Linked DNA regions of Oryctolagus cuniculus. The protein of the gene in region 1 purifies or fractionates together with the protein of each later gene. This does not show direct contact. Links are inferred from orthologs where the notes say so. Each region holds a gene or a part of one and is shown in the gene's direction. Other genes may lie near its edges. The genes, in order: PTPN2 and KPNA6.

Evidence for each region.
Region 2: the proteins of PTPN2 (region 1) and KPNA6 purify together in Homo sapiens (affinity purification with mass spectrometry; 3 studies listed by BioGRID and IntAct, with this or other methods). This does not show direct contact. The link is inferred for Oryctolagus cuniculus from reciprocal best matches to the Homo sapiens genes PTPN2 and KPNA6.

What each region holds. Positions count from the first base shown.
Region 1 is NC_091441.1:69,653,158-69,656,978, reverse strand, and holds part of PTPN2 (tyrosine-protein phosphatase non-receptor type 2), read left to right. Parts: intron 1-419; coding exon 420-601; intron 602-3,821. UniProt on the Homo sapiens protein: Non-receptor type tyrosine-specific phosphatase that dephosphorylates receptor protein tyrosine kinases including INSR, EGFR, CSF1R, PDGFR.
Region 2 is NC_091438.1:140,292,781-140,296,601, reverse strand, and holds part of KPNA6 (importin subunit alpha-7), read left to right. Parts: intron 1-629; coding exon 630-724; intron 725-1,919; coding exon 1,920-2,051; intron 2,052-3,507; coding exon 3,508-3,596; intron 3,597-3,821. UniProt on the Homo sapiens protein: Functions in nuclear protein import as an adapter protein for nuclear receptor KPNB1. Binds specifically and directly to substrates containing either a simple or bipartite NLS motif.

The sequences.
Region 1 (3,821 bases):
GTGGTGAGCTGACCACCTGGAGCTCCCAGTGTACTTGGTAGGGTACTTGGTTAGGGACAACCAAATTGAATACCTTTGACAACATTAGGACCTGTCTAGATATTTTAACTGTTGGGTCTCCCTGCACTGGACAGGAGCAAAGAATAGGAAGATACCAGATCACATTTAACTAATAAAGTATTCAACTACAAGGTGATGTATATAGATAATTAAATGCTTTATAATTAAAAATTTTAAACTTAAGCATAGTAGTCAAAAGTACTGTGGTATAATAAATCCTTGGTCATTTTCATTCATCTTTTCGCATTGCAGGGATTTTTTTCAGCTTGAATATAGAATTTAAAATCAAACGTTTTTAATTTAAGGGAAGCCAAATTTTCGGTGTCTGCATTGCTTTTTCTTTTTTCTTCCCTACCTAGAAACGGTGGAAAGAACTTTCTAAGGAAGATTTATCTCCTGCTTTTGATCATTCACCAAACAAAATAATGACTGAAAAATACAATGGGAACCGAATAGGTCTAGAAGAAGAAAAACCGACAGGTGACCGATGTACAGGACTTTCTTCTAAAACGCAAGACGCTCTGGAGGAGAACAGTGAGAGGTGAGATTCCCAGAGTTAGATGCTCAAAAAGATGAGGCTTTTTATTGTGAAAAGTTCACTTGATGGGAAGCAATATAGACCCTCTGTCTGTCGAATTAATATTTAGGTAGCATATGATTACATGATTGTTCTCAAAAAGCTTTCAGTTCTAGAAAAAGACTGTTTATAAACAGAAACCAGGTGAAAAAACAGTACTAATTGAATACAAAGGTTAATATGATCAGATACTAAAATATACAAGTACAGTATAGTAAATAAATGATATGAATACTTGCCACTTGTAGAGTTAAAAATAAAATTATAAAATATTTAAACTTAATTCCATTGTTAGAGGCAAAAAAGTAGTTTTCTTAAAAAATAGGTAAAATGCCATTTTATACTTTTTCATTTTAATCCATATAAATGTATAAGTTATTGCAAAAGAATTTTTTTAAGATTTATTTATTTAAAAGGCAGAGTTAGATAGAGAGATCTTCCATCTGCTGGTTCACTCCCAAAATGGCCACGATAGCCAGGCTGGGCCAGGCTGGGCCAGGCTGAAGCCAGGAGCCTGAAACTATCCTGTCTCCCATGTGGATGCAGGGGTTCGAGGACTTGAGCCATCTTCCACTGCCTTCCGAGGTACATTAGCAGGGAACTGGATCAGAAGTAGAGCAGCCAGGACTCGAACCAGCATCCACATAGATGCCAGCACTGCCAGTGGAGGCTTTAACTTGCTATGCCACAATGCTGGCCCCCAATTTTTTAAAATTAAAAAAACCTACATTTCTAGGGCTCTGATTATTTCAGGCACACATTAGGAAGCTGGTGTTCTGAGGTCTAAGTCACTTAGCAAAGTGAATGAGCTCTTTTTCTTTTTTGAATGTCTGAATAACTTTTTCTTTTTTGGGGGGGAGGAGTTAAATATACTTTTTATTGTGGGAAGTTTTATGTTGTCATACTTGTCAAGGTTGGGATTTGGGATGTACCATGAAAATAGTATGAAGGTTCCTGTACATTATAGCTGCTGCACACTGTATTTTTGTAATATCAAAATTATATACCTGAAATTTTGTGAAACCTAATATATTGCCATATATAGTAAATGTGTTGTATTTCCAGACAGCACTGCTTCTCATTTATGGCTTTTTTAAGGATTTATTTTATTTATTTGAAAGAGTTATAGAGAAAGGTAGAGAGAGATTTTGCATCTGCTGGTTCACTACCCAGATGGCTACAACAGGCCAGAGCTGAGCCAATCTGAATCCAGGAGCCAGGAGCTTCTTCTGGCTCTCCTACCTGGGTCCCAGGGCCCAAGGACTTGGGCCATGCTCCACTGCTTTTCTAGGCACATTAGCAGGGAGCTGGATTGGAAGTAGAGCAGCTGAGACTCAAACTAGCACCCATATGGGATTCTGGCGCTGCAAGCCAGGACTTTAACATGCCATGCCACAGCACCAGCCCCTCACTTATGACTTTTAGACTAAGTGAAAGCATTAAGCTGTTCCTTTTTTAGCCTTAAATTACTACTATTTTTGAAGATATATTTATTTATTTGAAAGGCAGAGTTACAGGCAGAGAAGAGAGAGAGAGAAAGAAACACCTTCCATCTACTAGTTCACTCCCCAGATGGCCAGAACAGCCAGGGTAGGCCAGACCAAAGCCAAGAGCTTCTTCCAGGTCTCCCACATGGGTGTCTGTGGCCCAAGTAATTGGGCCATCTTCTGCAGCTTTTTCCAGGCCATTAGCAGGGAGCTGGATAGGAAATAGAGCACCTAGGACTTGAGCTGGCATCCAGCACTGCAAGTGGCGGCTTAACCTGCTGTGCCACAGCTCCAGCCCCTTAAGTTAATACTTTTAAATCAGAAAATGATATTGTTTTAAATTACGTTAACTTGTTTGGTAGTAAGATTTTCAGATTCCTAGTATTAGTATCCCCTTCTCCCCCGCTTTTGATTAGTACTATGTGTAAAATTAAGTGAAAAACAAGCTTAATGACTAAATTGGTTTCCTTAGTATCTCAGAATTGTTTTAATTTTAAAAGACACACACAAACCATCTTAACAATCGCAGTGGATGAAACCATCATTGTCCAAATTTGGCAGTCCAGAAATTACTTAAAATAATTTGGGAGCTACAGAGTGATTGCAGAAAGTGTTCTTACAGTGTGTGGATGTGTGCATACATATGTTCACATGGATTGTTTTCTTCTTCTTTTTTTCTTCCCTGGGAGGTAAATGAGACCTGGTGTATGTTTGAAAGCAGAGGGAGGGTCCCAAGAGAGAAGTAAGGCTTTTCAGATGTATGCCTTTCAAGGCAGAGAGAGAAACAGAGATTTAGAATAGAGGTCTCTTATCCATTATTTCACTCTCCAAATGCCTGCAACAGTATGGCATCTGGGCCAGACCAAAACAAGGAGCTTAGAACTTCTTGACTAATCCAAGTCTTGAGCCACTTTAACCGTCACCTCCTACTGCCTCCCAGGGTATGCATTACCAGGAGGTTGGAATTGGGACCTGACCCAAGCCAAGACTTAAAACCCAAGGACTTCCGTATGGGGTGCCGGCATCCTAGGTAGCATCTTAACCACTATACTAAATGCCTGCCTTCTCCAGTGCATTTTAATACTGATGGATAGCTTTGAATAAGAGGTACTAATAGAATAAGATAAAAATTTTGTCAAAGATTTCAGCCATTAAAGGAGTAGAGGGTAATTTCTTCTCTTCATTGTCATTGAGTATCCTCCAAGACAGTGTTTGCCAAATTGAAGGTCAAATCCCATAGTCATGAGATCAGTTATTGGCTTGTAAAAAGAGTTTCTAAAGAAGAAAATAGAATAGAGTAAAATAGAAATTATTAGACTATCATAAATAGTTAACTATGAATACTCTAACCTAGTTTCTTCTGTCCATGTTGTATATAAATTCTCCATACTCAAATGCATACTGTGTATATAGGTAAATGTATGTATATGTGCGCTCCATTGGGATATAAGATATTTCTTGTAGATTGGAATCTTAGTTTGACAACCAGTGTTCTCAATCATCACATGACCCATAAAGCTGTGAGAGTAGAAGGTAGTGGGGCTATATGAAAAGTCTTACTGTGCAGTATGTTTACGTAAAGTGCACCTGCCAGGGCGAGTGTTGGCAGAAGACTGCTGAGTCTGCTGCCATAAGAAATTACATGTGATTTTCCATGGACAAGGGTCCACAGGAGGTTCTCTTTAGGTTTTGTAGCC
Region 2 (3,821 bases), on another chromosome or scaffold:
AAACTGAGGCAAGACTCAATGCCAAAACTTTAAAGTGGGATGAGGGCATCCCACATAGGAGCTTAACACACTCCATCACAACAGCCACCCCCTACCTATTCATCTTTGAACTGTATGATATAGTTGGACTACTTAAGGGTAAATCCAGTCCTAATTGAGTTATGTTTTCCTTTCCCTTACTGATAAACAAAGAATGGTAAGGGAGAGAGGATAGCCCAAGGGTTGAATGACACTGGTTTACATATTTCTCTTCTAAGGAAGATTAATTGTCGTTTCTTTGGAGGACTGTGTCATATAGTAGGCAAGAGGTGTTTTTCCCACCATACACCAAATTTTTATAGAACAACTGCCACATACCACAGTTCTAGCTCCTGAGGCTATAGTAAACCATACCAAAAGTCCTAGCCCTCATGAATGGAAAGTCTTTTTTTAATCTCTTTGTCTTTCATATAAATGAATCCTTAAAGAGAAACTGAGCAGGTATTGATAAACCACCTGAACAGAAGGGAGTTTGGGTATGTTTATAATGCTTGTTAGAAGTGTCTAGAAAGAAGCGTGAGCTGATACAAGTGAATAGATGTACCAAAGCCTCTCTTCAGTTTTTATCTCCTTCCATCTCCCTCTTGTAGAGCCTAGTCCTCCAATAGATGAAGTTATCAACACTCCAGGGGTAGTGGATCGGTTTGTGGAGTTTCTGAAGAGGAATGAAAATTGTACATTACAGGTGAGGCCCCAAGGGAAAGAGTTCCCAAATAAAGCCCTTTTCCAAGAAATTGGAATGGGGTATTTCTGCAGATATATCTCTCAGGAGATAGAAAAGTCAGATGAGGAAACATTTCAAGTAAGGCATCAGTTGCCTCAGAGATCTTGACATTATAAAGATATAAAGAAGAGAACAAAATCTCTTCCTTAAAACATTCTCAATAATAACTATGTAGAGTAATGCATTTGTTAATTGGCTAGATTTTTTAAAAATATTTTTATTTATTTTCTTGATAGGTAGAGTTACAGACAGAGGGAGAGACAAAAAGAAAGGTCTTCCATCTGCTGGTTCACTGCCCAAATGACCACAACGTCTGGAACTGGGCCAATCCAAAGCCAGGAGCTTTTTCCAGGTCTCCCAAGCAGGTGCAGAGGCCCAAACCATTAGGCCATCTGCTACTGCTTTCCTAGACCATAGCAGAGAGCTGGAGAACGGAAGAGGAGCAGCAGGGACTAGAACCAGTGCCCATATGGAATGCTGGTGCTGCAGGCAGATGCTTAGTCCACTACACCACAGTGCTGGCCCCGATTGGCTAGATTTAACAATTCCGCCGTCAGTATATATATTGAGTTATGTTTTCCTTTCCCTTACTGATAAAGAATGGTAAGGGAGAGAGGATAGCCCAAGGGGTGAATGACACCGGTTCCCTTCTAAGGAAGATTAATTGTCATTTCTTTGGAGGACTGTGTCATATAGTAGGCAAGAGGTATTTTTCCTACCATACACCAAATTCTTATATGGAAGGTTATCTGTCAGTTTTTATATATGGAAGGTTATCTGTCAATTTTTTTTTGAAAACTCAAAGGAAGATAAGAATATTGCAAACACACCATTCCATTACAAATCAGAGACTCTAATCTACTTCCAAGTCTTCTCATAGGTGGCTGTGACGCTCAGGAAATAAATAAATGACATGATGGGGATCCCGGGGATGCTGTTACAGTACAAAATTTGACCACGGAAGCACCATTCCACCTTCCCGTTGTCATATCACTGCCTCTTCTCACCATTTAAAAGAAGGGAGAGGAAAAGCTTATGTGTTTTGTTGTTTTGTTTTGTTTTTCATGGGCAAGAGGCTTACTGTTCTGAGCCAGCTAGTAAACATGGCTGCACACTGTGGAATGATCTCTCAATGGTGACTTAATCTACCTTTCAGTTTGAAGCTGCCTGGGCTCTGACAAACATTGCCTCTGGAACCTCCCAGCAAACCAAAATTGTCATTGAAGCAGGGGCCGTCCCCATTTTCATAGAGCTGCTTAACTCGGACTTTGAGGATGTACAAGAACAGGTAATACTGATTTGGCTTAGTTCTTCTTTTTAAGGATTTATTTATTTATTTGAGAGGCAGAGTTATAGACAGAACTGTCTTCCATCCACTGATTCACTCCCCAAGTGGCCACGGTGGCAGAGCTGGGCCAATCAGAAGCCAGGAGCCAGAAACTTCTTCCAGGACTCCTGCATGGGTGCAGGGTCCCAAACACTTGGGCCATCTTCCACTGGTTTCCCAGGCCATTAGCAGGGAGCTAGATAGGAAGTGAAACAGCTAGGACTTAACCTGCATTCATGAGATGCTGGTGCCACAGGCAGAGACTTAACCTACAGCGCCTTCCCCTTGGCTTGATTCTTGATGGTAGCTGCAGTATAATACCAACATTTGGTTTTAGTCCCAGTCTTGACACAGTGCTCTTAAAAACATTGGAATTTTCTGAGTTACAGGAATGTCTTTTGCTATTTATAGAGCCCTTTTAGAACACATCTGAGTCTGTATTAACAAAGTGACTCAGTTTGGGGAACCTCGGTAGCCTTTCAGTGGTTGGTCACCAGAAAAATACAAACATAGAATGTGGGAACTCCTGACTGCCTCCCAAGGAAGAGGAGGGATCTGGAGATTGGGTTATAAACTATTGAAGGTGAGAGCCTCTGGGTTAATGAGCGCATTGATGTACTGGGAAGGTGACAGATAACATGGAAGCTGTACACTACCCTCCTCACTTTATACCTTGTCTAATGTGTCTCTTTCATTTGGCTGTTCCACATACAAGTAGTGTTTTCTGAGTTCTCTGTAAGAATCCCCAAATTTCTTTCTAGTCAGTTAAAAGTTTAGGTAGTCTCTGGGACTTGTGATTGGTGTCTGAAGTGGAGGCACAGGTTACGTGGGAGTGATCTGTGGGTCCTTAATCTATGGGATCTGCTTCAACCTCGGGAGTGAGGGTCACATTTAAATTAAAGTATTGAACAAGCAGTCAGTGTCTGAGAATTGGTTGTTGGTATGGGAAAAACTACACACGTGCATTACGTGTCAGAAGTAGGGCGGGAAAGACACTGCACTACCATTTCCCAAAGATTATAGCAATAAAATACAACTTGCATTTCTCTCACTGGATTCTTGGTGATTGTATAGAAGTTGCGAGTCGAAATTACTACATTTACGAGTTGGTCCAAGGCAGCTTCAAGAGTGCAATTTACTGAACTCTGTCTGAGTGGATGGGAACGGGGAGCTCTTTGGCTTCTCAGTCTGTCATACAGCTGGCAGCCGCCTTCCTCACTGAACCAGGGACTCTGAGCATAGAGGTCCTTGAAGAGCAAATGCTCAGTAAGGACTTCAGCAGGGAGGTTACCTGAGCTTGGTTCGTGTGATTTGAGCCTTGACATGGCAGCCTGATGGGGACTCACTCTGTGGTTGTCTATAAAATACTTATGGAAGCCACAGGCGCTGAGGGATTGCTTCATCACTTCCTTTTCAGGCTGTCTGGGCACTGGGAAACATAGCTGGAGACAGCTCTGTTTGCCGGGATTACGTCTTGAACTGTTCCATCCTGAATCCTTTATTAACGTGAGTAATTACAGTCATTTTGTACCTGGGGCACCTGTAGGACGGCCATGTGGCAGGTCATTTGGGGATAGCTTACTTGATCCCTTAAGATGACAAATACAAAGTCTAAAAGTACTTTCCAATTGCTGAAGTAAAAACTAGGTATCTTTTTGAGTAAGAAAGATTGCATCTCAGATCTGTGCCAAGGGGAACCTTGTTCTTCATTTCAAGGCACTTTAGGTCCTC